Linked DNA regions of Mus musculus. The protein of the gene in region 3 purifies or fractionates together with the protein of the main gene of each other region. This does not show direct contact. Links are inferred from orthologs where the notes say so. Each region holds a gene or a part of one and is shown on either strand. Other genes may lie near its edges. The genes, in order: Drosha, Ddx5, Srpk1, Ssrp1 and Rnps1.

Region 1 (3,746 bases), on a different chromosome or scaffold from region 3:
ATAAAAAGCCTAAACTGTGCTTTTTTTTTTTTAATTAAAAATCAAAGTGCATACCAGGCAGTGGTATGGCACGCCTTCAATCCCAGCAGTAGGAAGGCAGAGGTAGAAGAATCAAAGCCAGTCTGGTCAACAGAGTGAGTTCCAGGATAGCATGGGCTACACAGAGAAACCCTGCCTCAAAAGAAAACGGGGTGGGGATGGGGGGTTGTGCACAAGTTTTTGTTGCCCAGCAGACAGCTTTATTAAGGAACTTGGCATGGGCTCACCTGCTCCTTTCATAGCTGCGGTGGCGAGGCGGTGGCGTTCTCCCCCGATCATAGTCTGAGCGGTAGCGGCTCTCAGGTCTTCTCCTTTCAGGGCTGCGGCCGCGCTCCCTGCGCTCCAGGGACCGATGCCTCTCGCCTCGCCCGTGACTGTGATCTCGGTGCCTGTGGTCGTCGTAGTGCTTGAGCCTTTCTGGGGACCGCCTCTCATTCTGAGCCTTTGGGAGTGAGTATGGTGGGAGGTGTCGAAAATGAGGAGTGCTGCTGCTGTTAGCACTGGGTGGGAAAGAGCTGGAGTTGTTCTGGTAACTGTTGAAGCCGGGCGGTGGGAAGCTGTGCGAGTACCCAGGGGGGTACTGGTAATTAACCTGCTGCGGCATGACGGGCGGGGGCGGAGGGTGGGGCATGGAAGGAGGGGGCACCATGAAGGGGAAAGTGCCTTGTCCGGGAGGTGCTCCGGAGGCAGGCGGGTTATTGGGACAAGGCATCGGAGGGGGCATGGGTGGAAAACAGGGAGGCACCGGGAAAGGGTGTCTCATCTGGTGGTTGGGGTAAGGCGGCCTCACTGGGCAGGGAGGGAGAGGCCCTTGGGCAGACGGCGCCGCTGGGGGAGGGTAAGGGACAAAGTCTGGCCGTGGGGGCATAAAGCTGGGGGCCTGAGAGTTCGAGTAGGAGGAAGAGGGGGCGCTCGGAGGCTCATATTGATACTGCGCAGGCGGCTGCTGGGGATGAAGAAGTCGCAGGTTTTGGGGTCTGAAAGCTGGTGCTGAAGGTCTGGCTCCGTGTCCTCCTCGGCCCCGGGGACACCCTCGTCCTGGGTGGTACGACATTCTATGACTTTTTAGAGAAGAGAAAAGGAGAAATCAAAACATGGGCCTCACCAAGACCCTCAGTGTGGAGGGAAGTGATTCCTGCAAGCTGTCTCACACACACACACACACACACACACACACACACACACACACACCTCGCGCGCTCGCGATCTCTCTCTTTCGCACAGCATGCACACACACACACACACATACACCCCTCGCGATCTCTCTTGCACACACCCGTGCGCACGCGGGCGCGCGCGAGCACACTCACACACGCACACGTGCACGCATGCGCAAAACACACATGCGCATGCGCACACATACACTTAATACACGTACATACGCTTCCCCCCCCCCCTCACGCAGGTGCACGCACATACGCACACACGTAGGTACAAGCATAGATTCATGCGCATGCTCACGGACTATAAACGTAAATTTTAAAGTAAAATTTTAAAAACCTCATGAGAACCCAAGTTCGGGCCCCGGAGCACAACACTAATCAAAAAGCCAAACACGGCGGATGTGCTTGCAATCCCAGAGCTGGGAGGGCAGAGGCAGGAGGATTCCTGAGGCTCACTGTCCAGTCATACAGTGAGATCCTGTCTCAAAAATAAGGTGGGTAGTGCCTGAGGAGAAAATTACACAGGCACACACACATCACTATGTACACACTATGCAAACAGGTTTCTTAAATACCTAACTACCCGTACACAATTAATCAGTACCACCAAAATATTCAACCCATATAAAAGAATTTTTTTTCCTAAAATCTTTATAGCCAGCTGTTTCCCGTCTCTTCCACACAGCCCACCACTACAGCCAATCCCTGGACCCTTCTCCTCTCCATTTCCTACCCTTGCCCACATGTCCCTCTAATCTTGCCCAGTGTCTTAATAGCTCATTTGTTAAAACAGCCTATATAGCTCTGACCCACTCTACTTTAGTGGGCACCAGGCAATGCCTCGGACTTAGGAGGAACCAACATTTCATTCCCTGAAGGCCAGGGAGAAAACAGGACTGCTGAACACCACTTAAATGGGCAGGCTGGTGCCCATGTTAATACTTCAATCAGCTTCTGCCAACACATCCCCGGCAACCTCCCGCAGCCAGTTTACTTTCCAGGCCACTACGGATGCTGGGTGCCCTCTCTGGGTGTGATGGTTTGTATATCCTTGGACCAGGGAGTGGCACCATCTGGAGGTGTGGCCTTGTTGGAATAGGTGTGACCTGGTTGGAATGGGTGTGTCACTGTGGGTGTGGGTATAAGATCCTCACCCTAGTTGCCTGGAAGTCAGTCTTTCACTAGCAGCCTTTGGATGAAGACATAGAACTCTCAGCTCCTCCTGCGCCATGCCTGCCTGGATGCTGCCATGTTCCCACCTTGATGATAATGGACTGAACCTCTGAACCTGTAAGCCAGCCCCAATTAAATGTAGTTTTTTATAAGACTTGCTTGGTCCTGGTGTCTGTTCACAGCAGTAAAACCCTAACTAAGACAGAAGTTGGTACCAGGGACTGGGGTATTGCTGTGATGGGCCTGACCATGCTTTTATTTGAAAGAATGTGGATTTTTGGACTTTGGATTTGGAACACAGTGGACTGTTTTAAATGGGGCTTAATGGGTCATCCAAGTAGGAATATGGAAGACTTTGTTGCTGGGAGTGATTTGAACTGTGTTGACCTGGCCCAAGAGATTTCAAAGGAGAAGAATTTCAGTATGTGGCATAAAGACCGTTTTTGTGGTATTTTGGTGAAGAATGTGGCTACTTTTTACCCTTGTCTGAAAAGTCTGCCTGAGGCTAAGGTGAAGAGACTTGGATTAATTGCATTAATTGCATTGACAAAGAAAGTTTCAAAAAGGCCCAGCAGAGACTCTGTTCTCTGGTTAAGTCTCACAAAGAGAAGTTTGAACAAGCATAGCAAGCTTAGAAAGGCAAAATATAAAATATATGGTTCGAGTATTAAAGGAGTACCAGGAAGTGAAATGGAGCAAAATCTTGTGTTCTAGGAGATAAAAGATTAAGGGAGTGGGACCTTGGGGCAAGATTCTACCCAGCTGAATTTAGATCCAGGCATGGTGGTACAAACCTTTAATCCCACAAGACAGGCATGCTGATCTCTGCATTCAAGGTCAATCTACAGAGCAAGAACCAGGATAGCCAAGCTTAGGCAGTGAAGGATTTAGGAAACATAAAGCTAGTGATAATGTAATAGTACAAGGGGATCATGTTCTAGTTCCTGTAAGCAGCAGAACTCGGCGGCTTCAGCCATGTGGCTCGGGCTCTAGAGTTAAGAATGGAAGGAACTACTGGGAAAATTGATGCTGGTTAGCTGGAGCTAAGGAATTAGCAGTGATTAAGAAGAAACCAGCATCACTGAGTTGAAATCTGGGAGTTGTTTTCTGGGAGCACAAAGAAGCTGTGCTCCAGAGATACCCAAGGTTGTACCTCATGCTGCGGCTGGACTTGGTAATGTGTAAGAGTCACTCAGGTGGTATTGCTTGTGAAGGAATGAAGGGATCATGGAGAGAAGCTGAGGCTTAGCACTGTGAGAGGCCAGGGAAGGCCATTGGAGAAGGTGAAGCCTCAGCTGTAGTTGATGGCCCAGGACTGAAGGGGTCATGAAAAGGATTTGAGGCTTGGCACCCTGAAGAGAGCCTATGAGA
Region 2 (4,372 bases), on a different chromosome or scaffold from region 3:
CCTAGACAACCGAATCAATTGGCTTTTCAAAGGCAGTACTAGAAAATGCCAGTTACTCTAGAGGGCATCAAAAGAACTTATGAGTGCTATGCCTCAAAAAGGAAAAAAAAATCAATATAAAGATAAGTTCTGCCTTAGTCCAAACAAAGCAAGGGGAAAGAGAGACAGTCTGTGGATAGATACCCCACAAAAATTCGGATCCAAGAAAGGATCTTGACTGCTCTATATAGACAGGATGCGGGTGTCCCAGGCTCGACAAAGAGTTCCTATCTCATCCCAAGTCTCAGTTCCACGTCTGGAAACCGCAAGAGGTTTCGAGGCTGAGACCCTAAATTCATAGAACCCCCCCCCCCACCGCGCGCGCGACTGCAACTAGTGTCCGACAGTCCCGAGCCTCCGCAGCGGCGCAGACGCGGTTCAGATTCAGCCCAAGGTCCGCGGAATGCTGCAGTACAAAACCACCAGGGCTCCAGGCCGAGACTCACCAGCCTCTGAGCTGGCCATACTGCCAGGAGAGGTCGCGGCCGGACTCCAAGACGAGAGCGCGGGCGACGGTGTCCCAGAAGGGTCGAACTCGGTCGAGCCGACGGGAGGAGGAGGGGGCAGACACTAGCGAGCGGGGAAGGAGGGGTGGAAGAGGGAGGGACGTTAAAACGGCTTCTCGACGCTGATTGGACAGCAGAGGAGCACTTCCTCGCAGCACGCGCTGAGGCGGCAGTTTGCGGGCTCCAGATACCATTCCCCGCGGTCAAGATCCCGCTTACGGGTTCTCAGATCGGCGGGCAGGGCAGCCAGGTCACCCAGCAGCCCGGCCGATCTCCCCGGGGGCGTTGGAGCCGCGCTTCCGGTGAGTTGGTGGTTTGGTGTTCCTCCGCCGAGAGACCAAGCGAGGAAGTAGTGCGATCCGCCTTGCCCTGGGTCCGATCACGTGATGAGGCCAAGCTCCGCCTCCCTGGTCTCCTTCGGTTATGGGCGTGGGGGGAGTCTGTGGAGACGTAAACATCTTCAAGTAGAGTCGGTGGAATGGCTGGCGCTGGCCATTTTAAGGACCGTCTGGCCACGGGGAAGCAGCTTGTCTGAGGTGTAGCGAGACGAGAGACGGCGGTGTCGCCAAAAGGGCGTCGGGGCGAGGCATTCTAGTGGTGTCACCCAGTCGTGAAGCGAGTAATAAACGGGCGCCGGGGAGGGAGCGCCCGCCCGCGGAGGGGGAGGGGCGAGAACATGGCGGATTCCGGAACCCGGGCGGGCGGGCGTTGAGGGCCTCCGAGCCAGGGGGGCGGGGTGATTAGGTCATAGAGCGGCTCCCAGCGTGCTTTGCGGCGAGGAGGCGGTCCAGACTATAAAAGCGGCTGCCGGGACGCAGCCGGCACCTCATTCATTTCCATCGGTCCTTGCCCTCGCAGCTCCGGCCCTCGACACCACCGGCCCCTCCGCTGGTGACGCCCCCGCAGAGGCTTCGCCGTCGCCGAGGCCTTCTCTCCGCGACTCGTCGCCGCAGGATTCTACTTTCACTGGGTTCCGCCCGCACACCGCCACCATTGACGCCATGTCGAGTTATTCTAGTGACCGAGACCGCGGCCGGGATCGAGGGTGAGTGTGACAAGAGACCTGTCAGGCCGGGTGGGGGATGGGAGAGCGGCGCGGCCGAAGGCTCGCCTTCCCAACCGACCTTTAGATTTTTTTTTTTCCCTTCCTGAAAGGAGGCCTGGCTTTTGTCACACGTCCGGTTAAAAGCCGTTAAAGGCTACGCTTCGGGTAATGGCGTTCAACCTTTTTTTTTTTTTTTTTTTTTTTTTTTTTGGTCCGGGAGGGTGGGCCGGGACCCGGGGCGGCCCGGCGACCTCGCGGCTGTTGAGGGAAACCCGGAGGAGTGTTTTCGGTCGGGAAGCGCCGCGCCTTTGAGGCGGTTCCCGGCGTCGTTTGCGCAATCTTTCGTTGGGTTGTTTTTTGAGGGGGGCCCCCCCTTCCGGTATCCCCGGGGGAAAGAAGGGGCGCTTTCGAGGTCCCCTGTGCCCCGTTGGGTGGCCTACGCCGGCGGATTCGGCCATGTGGCGGAGCCGCAGCCACAAAATGCCGGCCTCGGACATGGCGGCGGCGCCTTTGTTACCCCGCCCGGCGGAGGAGCTCAAAATGGCAGCGGCGAGAAAATGTGGCGCAGAGAGAAATGCGAGACAAAGAAGGAAGCGCCGCCCCAGCGGGAACGCCGCCCGGGCCGGGACTCCTCCCCCGGTTGCTTTCGGCTCCTCCTCTTTTTCTCCCTCGCGTTATATAATTTTGTTACCTTGGTTTGCAGCCGTTCGCGGCGTTTCCCTAGACTCGGCTCGCTGGCGCCTGTTCCCCTTTCTACCCTGTCCGCCGTGCTAGCCTCGTTCAGCTGCTCACATTGCCTTTGCGGCCCCGTTATTTCTTTAAGATTAGGTCCTTTGATGAAAACGGGCAAAAATAACCTTCCTAAGCTCCTCCCTTCTTGCCCAGCTCCTAGACGCTAATGCCTAAGCTCTGTGGGGAGAGAAGATGGAGGCTCTAACTCTTGTCCTTGTAATCTGGTCAGATGTTTGGGCTGTTTGCCACCTGATAAACCCACGATGTTTATTTGGCCTCAGTAGAGTGTGCTTGGGACTTCAGAAAAGAAACGCTGCCAGTTGTGGCTGTCCTTAGAATGACAGTTGGGAAGGATTCCAGAAGCACACTTTGGCTCTATCAAAAGGCAGCAGATGAAATGTGAGGGCAAACCTGTTCATGCAGTATCTTTCACAATGTGCCCAACTTTTGTTTTGTGTGTGTGTAGGTTTGGTGCACCTCGATTTGGAGGGAGTAGAACAGGACCCCTCTCTGGAAAGAAGTTTGGAAATCCTGGGGAGAAACTAGTTAAAAAGAAGTGGAATCTTGATGAGCTGCCCAAATTTGAGAAGAATTTTTATCAAGAACACCCTGATTTGGCAAGGCGCACCGCAGTGAGTTTATAAATGTGGCTTCTTCATGCTGTAACTCAGTAACTGCTTCTAGTCAATTAGATGGAAATGTAATAGGTGCCTTGCAAATGGAGAGTTGCTTGTGGTGCACTTCCATTGAATTTTTCTTGTGATATATGGTGCCCTATTTTAATCCTGTCACTGGGGAAACAGGTTTAGCAGTCTATTGGGCTTCATAGAGACTCAATTTTCATTTAAATAAGTATTATAAATTAATTATTAATTTTTGTTGCCAAGTAGAGTTCTTATTTATGGGTCCAGATTTTTAGAAATAAGTATGTTTAAAAGTTTATTGAGCTATAGGGAGCATGGCAGAAGTCTGAGGCTGAGATAATTTGTTTTTCAGCAAGAGGTAGATACATACAGAAGAAGCAAGGAAATTACAGTTAGAGGTCACAACTGTCCAAAACCTGTTCTGAATTTTTATGAAGCAAACTTTCCTGGTAAGGACTAACTTTCATCTTTATCCTTTCATTTCCCCCCCCCCCCTTGCTTATAAATTTGTTTTTAAAATGGTATTGTTGGTTGCAGCGAATGTCATGGATGTGATTGCAAGGCAGAACTTTACTGAACCCACTGCTATTCAAGCTCAGGGCTGGCCAGTTGCTCTCAGTGGATTGGATATGGTTGGAGTAGCTCAGACTGGATCTGGGAAAACATTATCTGTAAGTCTAGGAAAACTTGATAAATTGTGGCAGAGGTGACCTTAGATATATAACTATTTTAATCCAATTTCTATTATTTTTACTCTTCAATAGTATTTGCTGCCTGCCATTGTACACATAAACCACCAGCCATTCCTAGAGAGAGGTGATGGGCCTATTGTAAGTATTATCTTAAGTTTCCCACCATATTTGCTAAAACTCCTTTGACTTTCATATAGGGAATATAGGGTTGCCAGTATAAACTAGCCACTTAAAATTAGTATCCAGCCCAGGCGTGGTGGCACACACCTTTAATCACAGCACTGGGGAGGCAGAGGCAGGTGGATTTCTGAGTTCCAGGACAGCCAGAGCTACACAAAGAAACCCTATCTCGGGGGGAAAAAATTAGTATCCAAAGACAGTTAGTTGGATCAGCCAATTATAGATACTTGTCATGAGCCTGATCAAGATCAACTACCACAAGGAGAGACCAACTTGCAAAAGTTGCCTTCTGGTTTCTCCATGTGCTTCCACACACAAAAATTTTATCCTGAGAATAGTGCCTGGGAGGTAGAAACTGGAGAATTCAGGAGACACTGTCTCAAAAAAAAGTCTTATGACCACCTGAATTCTAATTCCCAACACACGAAGACATAGGGTCTTAGTAAACTGTTTTATACTAAACACTTTTTTTTGTTTTTCAAACTTAGTGCTTGGTGCTGGCACCAACTCGAGAACTGGCACAGCAGGTGCAGC
Region 3 (3,746 bases):
TGCAGTTATTTTTGTTTCTACTTCATGACTAATTTTGCTGCTATTAGGAGTCATAAATATACCTCAACACAAGTTTATCTTACCCAAAGCCTTTCTTTTCATTTTTTATGGTGGGTTGTAGTAACAGCAGTGTGGGAAAGAGGCTCAGACAGCCTGCTCCTCCCTGTTTACTTGAGGACTGACTGTACTACTTCACTTGTGCTAAAATATGGCTTCCTCCCAACACAGGTTCGCAACTCAGACCCGAATGATCCAAATGGAGAAATGGTTGTTCAACTACTAGATGACTTTAAAATATCAGGCGTTAATGGAACACGTATCCTTTAAGAGCTTTTTTGTTGTTGCTGCTGTTTGTTTTGTTTTGTTTTCTCGAGACAGGGTTTCTCTGTGTAGCCCTGGCTGTCCTGGAACTCACTCTGTAGACCAGGCTGGCCTCAAAACTCAGACGTCTGCTGCCTCTGCCTCCCTACTGCTGGGATTAAAGGCGTGCGTCACCCCGCCTGGCTTTCTCTCTGGTTTTGCGTGCGTGAGTGCATAGTTGCAGCCCTTGAGCAGAAGCTGGTTACTGTCCTCTTCCCATCCTTCCTGATGCTTCTGTGCCTGGTACGTGGGCACTCGTGAATACTTAAAAGGGACATCGGCAAATATCCACCATGGTGGTCTAGCTTTCCCTTTGGTACCTTGTTGTTTTTCCACCTGGGATGCCTAGATTCACAACTGAGAGTCTACCTAGAGTCTCAAGACCTTCCTCCTGAGGGACTCCTGCCCCTGTTGCCCAGTGCCTGCCATCATCTGTTTAAGTTTGTCTGTTTGAATCAGGCAAATAAGAGCCCACTAGGCAGTGATGGCGCACGCCTTTAATCCCAGCACTTGGGAGGCAGAGGCAGCCGGATTTCTGAGTTCGAGGCCAGCCTGGTCTACAGAGGGAGTTCCAAGACTGCCAGGGCTACACAGAGAAACCCTGTCTCAAAAAAAAGAGCCCACCTGTCGGATCCCTTAATTTAGGTCTGTGGTTGCTTTCTCGGGTTTGTCAGTTTTGTCTATTGTACCTTGAGGGATGTGTGTTCTTTATCGTGCTGTATCAGCACCTGTGAGCAGATCCATCAGGCTTATCACTGAGATGCTGCCCGCTGTGAAGGTGACATGCTTTGTATGACACTGGTCTCATAGGTCGCCTACAGGTCTCTCCGGAGGCTGAGTCCACAGGCGCCATGTTCTCCCACTGTGGCAGTTTATTACTTGGCCTTGGTGTTCTCTAGTAAACGTGTGCTGCCTCTCCTCAAACTCTTTATGTTAACTTTGACCCTAAAGTAGGATGCTAACCCAATGGCCTGCAGAGTGGTGGTGCTTCTCCACCCAGTCTGGGCCACATGAAGAGACCGTGGGTAGGCAGCACGCAGGCATTAAGATCGATGCATGGAGTGTCTGTATAAAGCGAGTCAGGGATCTGTTTTTAAATTCTCAGGGAGGGTTAGTCCAGTGCCGAGGTACTTCCCTCGCAAACACTAGGTATGTTCCACTCTACCACAGGCAGAGAGCTTGCCACCTTCACCTTTCAGTTAAGTTTTGCATCTTCTTTGTTCTTCATGTTGAGCCTGTGTGAGTGGTCATGTTACACACACACACAAGCCCGATATTCTGAGGGGAACCTGACTCTGAGGGGACGACTAGACTGATCTTTCCTTCCACCTTCTGAGTGTGTTTTCTCCTCCTAAACCAACTTTTTTTTTTTTTTTAAATTTTCTTTTCTTTTTTTTTTTTAAAGATTTATTTATTTATTTATTTATTTATTATATGTAAGTACACTGTAGCTGTCTTCAGACGCACCAGAAGAGGGCACCAGATCTCATTATGGGTGGTTGTGAGCCGCCATGTGGTTGCTGGGATTTGAACTTCGGACCTTTGGAAGAGCAGTCGGGTGCTCTTACCCACTGAGCCATCTCACCAGCCCCCTAAACCAACTTTTTTAAAGTAGTTCTGTGACTGAAAAGACTGTTGATGCTGGAGTCTACCTGCTTCCTTGGGCCTCTTTTTTTTTTTTTTTTTTTTTTTTCCTTAATGAACTCCTAGATATCTGCATGGTGTTTGAGGTTTTGGGGCATCATCTACTCAAGTGGATCATCAAGTCCAACTATCAGGGGCTTCCGCTGCCTTGTGTCAAAAAAATTATTCAGCAAGTATGTATGTTGGTTATTGCTATGTGGGATACCCCTCCCCTCTATTGCCTGCCTCTTTGAGAAGTATCTAACTATGTTATGTAGACCACGCTGCCCCAGAACTTAAGTTTGCTTCTGCCTCCTGGGTGCTGGGATTAGAGGGTTTCACCACTACACCTGGCTGATGGTATCTTTATTTAAAAACCTCCGGTGTTTTCTCCTGACAAAACACAGACTGAGGATCGGGCTGGGAAGTGACTCACTTGGAAATTGTCTGCATGCGAGTGTGGAGACAAGAAAACTTGGCATTGTGGGCTTTTGTTTTAGTTTGTTTTTTTCTTATGTCTGTGTGGTGTTTGCCTCCATGTCTACGTCATGCATAGGCAGAGTCCAGATGAGCATTCCCTTAAGCTGGAGTTTAAGGTGCTTGTGAGCTGTCATATGGTTGCTGGGAATTGAGCCTGGGTCTTCTGGAAGAAGAACCCAATGCTCTTCGCTGCTGGGCCAGCTGCACCTGCGAACCCTCTCTCTGTGCGTTGTGACTCTTCCTTTCCCAGCAGGCTTGGACCGTGTGTTACTGAAGCTCCTGCTTTATTCTCACTTAGGTGCTACAGGGCCTGGATTACTTACACACCAAGTGCCGGATCATCCACACGGACATCAAACCAGAGAACATCTTGTTGTCTGTGAATGAGCAGTACATTCGAAGGCTGGCTGCAGAGGCCACAGAGTGGCAGCGCTCAGGAGCTCCCCCACCATCGGGGTCTGCAGGTACATGGGGTGCTTTGCTTGAGTCAGACCCTCAGGAGGAATTTCTGTTTTCATTTGTTCACAAAACAGCAGAATTGTACTCACTGATTATTTTAGAGATAGTAACAACATTAAAGAGACTGGTATTTCTTCCAAATGGGAAGAAAATGAACAGTTGTTATTTTTTTAGATAAAAAGTATTCGATATAGTAAAATAGCTGACTTACATTATTGTTTTAGAGTGTTTTTATTTGATGGGCTTTTCCATTTGATTGACTCCTTTGTAGGGGCATGTAGCTCAGTATATGTGGGTGTTAGGACAGCTTTCAGGAGTTAGTTTTCTCTGCCACGTGGTTCCTGGGGGTCAGACCAAGGTACTGAGGCAGCATCTGTCTTTGCCTGCTAAACCAGGCTTCTGACCACTGTCATTTTCATTTTTTAGGATGTCTTCTTATACAGTATGTAGGCCAGGCTGAATTTGAATGCCTGATCTTTCTGTCTTAGGCTCCCCGGGGCCTAGATTGTAGCTGTATGACACTGGGTGCTCCCTGGGTGGCTGGCTGTGGTTTGCCTCTTGGTGCTCACACATGCTCACCTACTGACACTGTCAAGTAGCAAGTGCTGCTGGATTGTGTTTATCGAGGAGACCTTGGCCCAGTTAGGAACTGTGGGAGTTGGACTCCCGTGGTGCAGCCGGGCGAAGCAAGTGGCGCTATGCTCAGTGGTTCTGACAGCTGCTGTGCTGCTTTCCCTCGGCAGTGCAGTCCTTAATTATTGGGCCTTTAATTGGTACTTCATTGAAAGAACACAGGAGATGAAAGGTGGTGACTAGAGTTCAGT
Region 4 (4,312 bases), on a different chromosome or scaffold from region 3:
ACCAGCTGCTTTGTATTCTCCAAAGCCCCTTGTAACTGCCCACTCTTGAGTTAGCTCATCTGCCTGAGCCAAGAACTCCACTCTTGAGTGTCTGTCGATTTCTATCTAATAGCACAAATAGGGAGAAAGGGTTCTTGACAGTTCTGTGTCTCCTGGGAGGAAGACACGCATTTCTTACCATCTCCTCCTCTCTGCCCTCCAGCATCTCATTATGTTGTCTAACTTGTTATGTTGCCATGTTTCAAATTCACAATCCTCCTGCCCCAGTCTTTGAGTGTTGTGATTACAGATTTGTAATACTACAAAGCGGAAAGTCGCTTATTTCTAACTCTAGTTGGTTGCAACTCTTCAAGTTGCACAGAAATTACTGAACTCCCTCTCTTTTTAAACCCCGAAGTTATTAAAATCTTTTGTTAGGGTATGTGCTCCTAAGAGGCTGGGCTATTTTAACGATCTTCAACAGTTTTGTCAGATCCTAGAAACGTGCTGCATTAATAGGTTTTCATTATGTCTTAAGCCCAGTTTGACTTAGCTAAATAGTGCTAGCAATGATAGTGGTTAAAGCCACAAGCACCGAATGACAAAACACATTTTTATCTATATCATATCCCAGGACTGAGTTAGCAAGTCAGTGCAGTGATATTTCAGGGAAACTGTGGGCTTATCCTGTCTTTGTGTAGGACATATGCTAGCAATCACTCTAAACCCTGAACCCTCATGATTATAAAAGGCTGATGTTAAAGAGTCTGTGTTCTAGGTTCCAGTTTTGATGGTAATGGACTGACACCCAGTCGCAAATCTTTTGTGGTCTCATTTTTCTCATCTGTAAAATGAGATAAACTCAAGCATCTCTGTCAGACCTGGCTTCAGATTTTGCAAGATGCACTCCGGTGCTATGTGAGGCCATCCGGGCTTCTGCCAACGTAGGCTGATGTGATTTCAAGTAAGTTCTAGCTCAAAGGTAAATCCGACACCACCACTTGAATTTAATGCAGCCATCTGCTAGGCTCTTCCTGAGAACCCACAAATTAGGGATATGGACAGGATAGTGTTGGGGGTAGGTGAACTCACTGCAGAAAGGATCTGATCTACTTGCCAGGGTACAGCTGGAAAGCAAGCACAATCGCCGACACCCGCATCTCCTTTGCAGCTAGTGGGGCTACACCTCTGTATTTTTCTTGTTCAACAGACTCCTTCCCAGATTATTTCACAGGAGGGAGGGGCGTGCATGATTCCAACAAACATACAAACCTGAACACCTAATAAAACCGCATAATTTCCCTTCGGAATCTAGTCTTTGAAGAGCAGCTTGTAACTTTCTAAAGAGTGTTCCCGTTTTCTAGTCAAGAATTCAGCCGCGTGGGATTCCATAGCAAGCCTCTCGCTTTAGCCGACCAGGGGGAGTGCCGACGCTCTAGGCGAATGTACCCGTTGGTCGGCCCGGATGATGCCGTTCTAGCCAAGTCTTCCTCTCTATGGTCCGTGCGCGACTTCCGGTGGCGGGACGCGGGGCTGCGCACGCGGGAAAAGCTTCCCCGGCATCCCTTCCCCCGCATCCCTACCCCCTCCCCTGCGTCCCCCTGCGCCCACCGCCCTCACTGTGCCGTCGCGAGGCTGCAGCTCTTAGAGGTGGGTGGTCGCGATCCCTGGGCCCCTGGTGTGCATGGGCCCCGCTCCCCCGCGGGACGATCGGAATGGATCGATCCGCGTTCAAATTCGCGGGCAATGGGCGAATCCATTTTAAAAGAAGGGGGAGAAACGTAGATTCACGCGGGGCCCCGGGGTGGTGGGGTCTCTGCGATCAGGACACTACCCTCTGAGCGGAGTTGAGGTGCGCTCTCTGAGCGGGTCTCAGGTTCCGCCGATTGTTGCCGTGCCTGTCCGTGGAACGTACCGAGAGGGTGTCGGGTTGGGGTGTAAGCGCCACTATAGGCCTGGTTCTGCACCTAGGGTCCTGGGCCTTGGCCTCAGGAGCCCTGCAGAACGGGTCAGTAAGATCCCCAGGCAGCAAAGAACTTGAGACATACCAGGTACATGGCTGAGCGGAGTAAGGTGGCGTTGTTTCTTGCTTATCAGTCTCCTTCCCGAATTCAGATTCCCACCCTGCTGGACATCTACACAACTAACCAGGAATTGGGGCACAGCATCCAGAGAAGGGTTCGTTTTCTCTGGTGCAGCCTAGGGCTGTGTGCTCAGGCCACCACGGGCAGGTGAACATGGCAGAGACATTGGAGTTCAACGACATCTTCCAGGAGGTGAAAGGGTCCATGGTGAGAATGGCTTGGGCAAAAGAAAGGCAGAGAGGGGGAAAGAGTTCGAATCTATGAACGAAAAGCTTAACTCTGACTACTTTTTTGGAAACAGTGTATCAGTGTGTCCCCCAAGCGAAAACGTGAGCAAAGTCTCAAAGAGTTGCAAGATGTTGAGTTTGTTGAGTTGTATTAGAAAACCAGGAAACTGGGGCCCTTACAGGGTTTCTGATGCCAGAGCCAAGCTTGCAGTCTAGACTTAATGTCTGTTGTGTCTTTTAACTTGATTTCACCACGACCGCTTTTCAATTGATACTCTGGCCATCCTGCATCCCATGGGTAAGGGGTAGAAAGGATCCACTACACACTACCCTGTTCTGATTTTGGGTCTGTATTTTGGGCAGAATGATGGGAGGCTTCGATTGAGCCGTCAGGGTATCATCTTTAAGAACAGCAAGACGGGCAAAGTGGACAACATCCAGGCTGGGGAGTTGACAGAAGGCATCTGGCGTCGGGTAGCATTAGGCCATGGGCTTAAACTGCTCACAAAGAATGGGCATGTCTACAAGTACGATGGCTTCCGCGAATCGGTGAGCGATCTTGTTCTGTGACCCACTTTCTTTGTAACTGCCTTGTCTTTTTTTATTTTTAATCTTCTAGAGACAGTTGGCGTTTCTCTGATAATCATGTTACTGCTCATTTGGGTTCCTCGAAGCAAGGCTGTTGGAGACTATTGAACAAAACAAACAAACAAAAAAAACAGTGTTGTGTATTCAGTACACGTGTCGTGTACCTGGACTCCAGGAGGTTTTCTACCATCTTAACTTATACCATGGTTTCCACTTGCTCCCTCTGTCCTGGCTCAGCATCTTAGCTTGGTGCTCTAGGATTTTGCTTTTCCATTTTGAGCTGCTTTTGAGTTACTTGGTTTTAATATTCACTTTCATCAAAAGATCACCTACACAAAGTTTAGAAACTCAGGTGATGCATGTATCTGGGAATTTAAGTTTCTTTACTACTCTTAGCCAGAGGCCCAGAAAAAAAGTTTTTGTGGTTATTGTTAAAAAATATTTTCAGGGTCTGGAGAGATGGCTCAGTGGTTAAGAGCACTGACTGCTCTTCCAGAGATCATGAGTTCAATTCCCAGCAACCACATGGTGGTTCACAACCATCTGTAATGGGATCTGATGCCCTCTTCTGGTGTGTCTGAAGACAGCTTCAGCGTACTCATATATAAAATAAATAATTTTATTTATTTATTTATTTATTTATTTTTGACAGGGTTTCTCTGTGTAGCTCTGGCTGTCCTGGAACTCACTCTGTAGACCAGGCTGGCCTCAAACTCAGAAATCCACCTGCCTCTGCCTTCCAAGTGCTGGGATTAAAGGTGTGTGCCACCACTGTCTGGCATAAATAAGTCTTAAAAAATAATTTTCATTCGTTAAAAAGTATTTATTTTATCTGTATGAGGCTTTGCTAGCTTGTGCACCATGTGCATGCCCGGTGCCCACAAAGCTCAGAGGAGGGCATTGGATCAGCTGGAACTAGAGTTACAGACAGGTGTGAACCACTGTGGGGCGCTGAGAAGGACTCCAAGGTCTTCTGGCAAGAACAAGTACTCTTAACTGCTGGGCCATCAGGTCTCTAGCACTTAAAAGGTTTTAAGCACAAAGGTTAAGGGAAGGAAAGAGGCTTGGAAGAAGGACATCCTTGAAGAGTAGGGCAGAAGGCATCTGGGTTCTAGAAACAGTCTCCACTAACAAAGGGAAATTGTTTTGAAACAGTTTTGGAGTTGGTATACTCAGTTAGCTGAAGTTCCTGAGGAAGATACATTGGTGACCTGAGCTAGAGACTCTCAGGACCTGTTAGTTGTGTTGAGACCCAGAGGTTTAACTGGATCTGCATTTTCTCCGTTTGATTTACAGGAGTTTGAGAAACTCTCTGACTTCTTCAAAACTCACTATCGCCTTGAGCTAATGGAGAAGGATCTGTGTGTGAAGGGCTGGAACTGGGGGACAGTGAAGTTTGGAGGTGAGTGGGCAAGCTTGAGGTTTGGGGAGAAG
Region 5 (4,427 bases), about 4.2 Mb from region 3:
GCCACCTGTAGATGGCTTTCAAAATATTAGACACCACAATGGCCTCAGAGGAGAAAAACCCAGATTTGTCTTATTGGCATTGTTTTCTTTAAGGATACAATGAGTAACGAGTAGCTGGCACTTTGAGTGACAAGCATCAAAACATTACTCAACACAACACAACGTGCAAAACCTCACAGGAGAGCACTAAGACAGAACCGAAAGCTGGAGCGGCGGTGCAAGCCTTCAACCACAGCACAGGGGAGGCAGAGGCAGGCTGATTCAGAGCTATTCCAGGACAGCCAAAGCGACATAAAGAAACCCTGCCTGGGAGGAAAAAAAAAGAAAAAAAAGAAAAAGGCAAGAAAAAAAGTAAGACTGTCAGGTAGGTAAACCATAAACAAATAAGGGGAAAATGTGACTTGGTAGATCTAGTCAGCAGTCAGGTAGGCACAACTGTTGAAACCTCTGAATGGGTTGAGATCTTATAGGCAGTGTTAAGGGTTTAGCAATAATGCCACGTAACAGTAAGTACTCAACTAAAGACAGCTAATTCTCCCTGGGACTTCTCTTGGAGCAAAATACAAAAAAAGGCCTCAGGATACATCCTAACTCTTCTTCCTCACCTTCCTCAAGTGTAAGGCGAGAATACATCTTTTCAGAAACAGGGCCCTTCTAAATGCTGCTGAATAAGTCTAGCTCATGAGAACAGTTCCCTTCCACTACTTTGACAAATAGAAATGGCAAATGATTACCTATCTAGCTTCTTTCCAGGACTATATCTTTTCAGCTATCTTCCATGGTCTGGAGTAAGCAAGCAAGCAAGCCTGTGTTTCAGGCTTCAAGTCTTTTTTTTTTTTTTTCTCGAGACAGGGTTTCTCTGGGCAGTCCTGGCTGTCCTGGAACCCACTCTGTAGACCAGGCTGGCTTCAAGAAATCCACCTGCCTCTGCCTCTCAAGTGCTGGGATTAAAGGCCTGTGCCACCACTGTCCAGCTGTGGCACTCATTCTTAATTTTTTTTTTTTTTTTTGCTATCCTGTAGCTCTGGCTGTCACAGAGATTCCCCCACTTTTGTTTCCCAAGTGCTGGGATTAAAGCTGTGTACCATGACACCTTGCTGGGACTCATCCTTCCTGTCTCCTGAGTACAGGAACCAAAGGCTTATTCTATTAAAGACAAGGTCTCTAGCCCAGGCTGGCTTCAAATGTTCTATGTAGGATGACTTGAATCTCCTGCCTCCGCCTGGGATTATAGGCTTTCGATATGGAGCTGGAGACTGAAACCAGGGCTTTGTGCACAACAGGCAAAAGCATACTACCAAGTTAAGTAATCCTGACAATTAGCTCCCTAAACCTTGCTTGGCTAAATCAATCTATCAATCTGGCAAGGCACCCAGCTAAAAGCTCAGTGGTAAGTTTGATTTCTGGCTGCTTAGTTAACTGTGTTACAGCTCAGCTGACTTTTGGATGAGATCACTAAAAGCAGCACTGTCCATGAGTGTGAACCATGAGCACACCCTTTAATCTCCTTTCAGCCAAGTCACAAAAGTTAGTGAAACCTTTCTTATTTTTTTTAGAAACAAGAACTGGGAAATGAGGCTCTCGAGTTCAAAGGTCTGTCCTGGTCTACTTCCAGGACAGGCAAGGCTACACGAAGTAACACTGAGCCCAGTATACTCAACAAGACCTCTACCATTCACAAGTACTGACAGTCCAAAATTAAAGGCTTTTTCCCCCCTATTGAAACATGGTCTCACTAGGCAGCCCTGGCTAGCCTAGGTTGATCAAGCTAGCCTCAAACTCTGACTTGCCATCTGAGTGCTGGGATTAAAGGCAGTGTGTGGGTCCCAAAACTAGTTTTTAACAAAATGAACATTACCTTTGTAACATATAATCAACATAAAATTACTAAATTTCTTGTGGGTTTTCTATACTAAGTCATTTAAATCTGGTATGTACTTTTGGGGTTTGGGTTACTATTCAAGTGCTTCATACCAGTGACAAAGGGTAGAGATCACCCTTGTGCACCCGCACCCCGACCTGCTGGAATGTACTTTATGAAACAGGCAGAACCCATTGTTAAGCAGTCTACAAATTATGAACTGCGGCGTAAGCGAACTCTTTGCTGGGTGTGGTCGAGTGCTAGAAAGCAAAGGTGAGGGTCTCTGTTCACTCAAGCTCAGGTAACAGCTCAGGACCTTGGTCACCTCTCCCATCCTCCGGAAAGGTGTGCGTCCAACAGTCAGAGAGAGGAGAAAACAAATGGTTAAATCTCGAGCAGAGGGCGTCTTGGCAATCTGAAAGCACTCTCTACATATAAAAGCACATCGGAGACACAGTGCCTACGAAGTAACACAAGGTAGAGAAAGCAAGCCTCCACCACGTCTCTACCATCAACCATAACCTTCCCATATCCTCTCCCGCTGAGCTCCGTAACCGTGCTCGGTCCATCCTAGGACGGATCCTCAATGCCCAGAACTGAGAACTGCACACTGGATTCCGACAGACACTCGTGGAAAGAGATCTTTAAAGGAAACCAACCTTTTAGGCCGGCTCGCAATCTGCACCGTCCGCTCCGGCCACAGACATCGACCTCGCCTCCCACCCTCTTTCTCCACTCACTACTCAGGTCGGGCCCGGTGTGGCGAGCCTAGGTCTCCAGCCTGACAAGAAAACAAGAGAAGCGGCAGGGCTCGCAGCTGCTGGAGTCCTGCAGGCTAAAGCGGGTCGCCGCCGAGCGAACCGTGCGGGATCACCCTTCCGTCGGTGACCGCCTCGACCACTTCCGGGCCGCGGCCTCGACACCTCCCACTCCGCCCGACCTGAACCACACTCTCTCCTCGGGCTCTGTTCCTCGCCGGCGGGCCTCTGCCGCACTGAGGAACGCAACCGGCTCCACGATGCGCCCCGCCAAGCCTGGCAGAAGGTCCCCGGAGGTCGGATGCAGCCGGATTCCTACCCCGACTTACATCTTCCCAAGGCCGCCACCTCCTCCCGCTCTTCTCAGACCAGGACGCCGGCGCAACTTTGTCGTCAGAGGTGAGAAGCGGGAAGGCGCAGCCGTCGTCGCGCGACGATGACGTAAGCACACTCAGCCAATGCAAGTTAGCGGTGGAGGACTAAAGGACAGCAACTGTGTGTGGGCGGAGCGTCGTAGCGCCTACGGTCCCCCCCCCCGCCCCCCCTCCCCGACTGGTCTAAAGTTTCCTGGACTTGTTTTGCTCATTCTGAAGCGCGCGATGATTGGCTGACCGGCACCAGAGGTTTGTGCTCTTTGGCGCCTACCGGATCTGTGTGGATGGAGCTACTCGGGTTGCCTCTGCTGTCATTAGGATCTAAGGCACCCTGCTGAGGCCGCGTTATTGTAGTAAAGGGACAGGCTGGTACGGACGGTGAGTTCCTATGGTCAAGTCTCTGGTAGTTAGTGGTGATTGCATAGATATGGTCTCTGTGCTGGTGGGATACAGCTGACTGGGTGTAGCGGGCGGCCGATGAGGCCAGAAAGGAAAAAAGTTTGAGGAAATGTTGAAGGAGGTTTCTCCCAGGAGACATTTCTGACAAGAATGCGTGGGGCAGAAGGAACAGCAAAGGCGTTCAGGATCGCTGGGAGAAGAAGAGGCACGCTAGTCTATACCGGGGTTACGTCAGTAACTTCTTAGCAAGGACATAGAGGATCTGGTCTCTGCACGAGGCTAAAGAGTAGCACCCGCCGTAGTGCCCCGCCTCCCGACTTTGCCAACACATTCTTTTGTTTGTTTGTTTGTTTGTTTTGTAGCCCTGGCTGTCCTGGAACTCACTCTGTAGACCAGGCTAGGCTGGCCTAGAACTCAGAAATCTGCCTGCCTCTGCCTCCCAACTGCTGGGATTAAAGACGAGCGCCACCGCCCGGTTTGCCTAGCACATTCTTGCTCCGTTATTTGCGGAAGAAAGGGATATGCACACAATCCCCGCGGTTATCTAAGTAGATTTGAGGCAGGAACGAAGAAAGAGGAACAGAGCTAAGGTGAGCTTCAGGAGGAAGGTACAAAGGTGACTTAGATTTGGATTACATATTGCTGTGAAAGATAGGAAAGTGGCCAATGTGCACTTTGGTGATCCCGGAGAGATGGAGAGAAGAGATTATCTCGGTCCAAGGAGCTGGGTGTGTCCTGTGGGACAGTCAGGAAGAGGAGCCTGCTTCTGAAGTCTGCTTTCCTGAGGTATTCATTTTTTGGGGTGGGGTTAGCAGATCTAGACAGTTTGGTCTGGTACCCTTGTTGGATTTAAGATTATTTAATGTATAGGATATTAGGGATAAGCTGATTTTCTTGCATTGCTGTTGTGTCTGCTGTGGTCAGACATGAGTGGTAAGTGGATGCTAGCTGTTCTCTGGTGGAACGGAACAAATAAACGATGACCCTCACTTACATCATCCAGTCTGGGTTATTCACACTAGAAAGGCTGAGAGC

What was found.
Region 1: the proteins of Srpk1 (region 3) and Drosha purify together in Homo sapiens (affinity purification with mass spectrometry; 3 studies listed by BioGRID and IntAct, counting the BioPlex papers as one, with this or other methods). This does not show direct contact. The link is inferred for Mus musculus from reciprocal best matches to the Homo sapiens genes SRPK1 and DROSHA.
Region 2: the proteins of Srpk1 (region 3) and Ddx5 purify together in Homo sapiens (affinity purification with mass spectrometry; 3 studies listed by BioGRID and IntAct, with this or other methods). This does not show direct contact. The link is inferred for Mus musculus from reciprocal best matches to the Homo sapiens genes SRPK1 and DDX5.
Region 4: the proteins of Srpk1 (region 3) and Ssrp1 fractionate together in Homo sapiens (co-fractionation; 3 studies listed by BioGRID and IntAct, with this or other methods). This does not show direct contact. The link is inferred for Mus musculus from reciprocal best matches to the Homo sapiens genes SRPK1 and SSRP1.
Region 5: the proteins of Srpk1 (region 3) and Rnps1 purify together in Homo sapiens (co-immunoprecipitation; 5 studies listed by BioGRID and IntAct, counting the BioPlex papers as one, with this or other methods). This does not show direct contact. The link is inferred for Mus musculus from reciprocal best matches to the Homo sapiens genes SRPK1 and RNPS1.

Annotation. Positions count from the first base shown.
Region 1 is NC_000081.6:12,831,183-12,834,928, reverse strand, and holds part of Drosha (ribonuclease 3), read right to left. Parts: intron 1,101-3,746; coding exon 267-1,100; intron 1-266. UniProt on the Homo sapiens protein: Ribonuclease III double-stranded (ds) RNA-specific endoribonuclease that is involved in the initial step of microRNA (miRNA) biogenesis.
Region 2 is NC_000077.6:106,785,491-106,789,862, reverse strand, and holds the start of Ddx5 (probable ATP-dependent RNA helicase DDX5), read left to right. Parts: upstream 1-1,368; 5' UTR 1,369-1,546; coding exon 1,547-1,590; intron 1,591-2,788; coding exon 2,789-2,954; intron 2,955-3,318; coding exon 3,319-3,415; intron 3,416-3,503; coding exon 3,504-3,637; intron 3,638-3,730; coding exon 3,731-3,796; intron 3,797-4,326; coding exon 4,327-4,372. Other genes in the region: Cep95 (centrosomal protein of 95 kDa), read right to left, coding at 486-504. UniProt on the Homo sapiens protein: Involved in the alternative regulation of pre-mRNA splicing; its RNA helicase activity is necessary for increasing tau exon 10 inclusion and occurs in a RBM4-dependent manner. Binds to the tau pre-mRNA in the stem-loop region downstream of exon 10.
Region 3 is NC_000083.6:28,601,869-28,605,614, reverse strand, and holds part of Srpk1 (SRSF protein kinase 1), read left to right. Parts: intron 1-228; coding exon 229-316; intron 317-2,070; coding exon 2,071-2,177; intron 2,178-2,761; coding exon 2,762-2,927; intron 2,928-3,746. UniProt on the Homo sapiens protein: Serine/arginine-rich protein-specific kinase which specifically phosphorylates its substrates at serine residues located in regions rich in arginine/serine dipeptides, known as RS domains and is involved in the phosphorylation of SR splicing factors and the regulation of splicing.
Region 4 is NC_000068.7:85,035,700-85,040,011, forward strand, and holds the start of Ssrp1 (FACT complex subunit SSRP1), read left to right. Parts: upstream 1-1,420; 5' UTR 1,421-1,629; intron 1,630-1,751; exon of another isoform or gene 1,752-1,831; intron 1,832-2,076; exon of another isoform or gene 2,077-2,094; 5' UTR 2,095-2,216; coding exon 2,217-2,270; intron 2,271-2,653; coding exon 2,654-2,839; intron 2,840-4,174; coding exon 4,175-4,280; intron 4,281-4,312. UniProt on the Homo sapiens protein: Component of the FACT complex, a general chromatin factor that acts to reorganize nucleosomes. The FACT complex is involved in multiple processes that require DNA as a template such as mRNA elongation, DNA replication and DNA repair.
Region 5 is NC_000083.6:24,413,256-24,417,682, reverse strand, and holds the start of Rnps1 (RNA-binding protein with serine-rich domain 1), read right to left. Parts: upstream 3,009-4,427; 5' UTR 2,951-3,008; coding exon of another isoform or gene 2,949-2,950; intron 2,643-2,948; 5' UTR 2,521-2,642; exon of another isoform or gene 2,178-2,520; intron 1-2,177. UniProt on the Homo sapiens protein: Part of pre- and post-splicing multiprotein mRNP complexes. Auxiliary component of the splicing-dependent multiprotein exon junction complex (EJC) deposited at splice junction on mRNAs.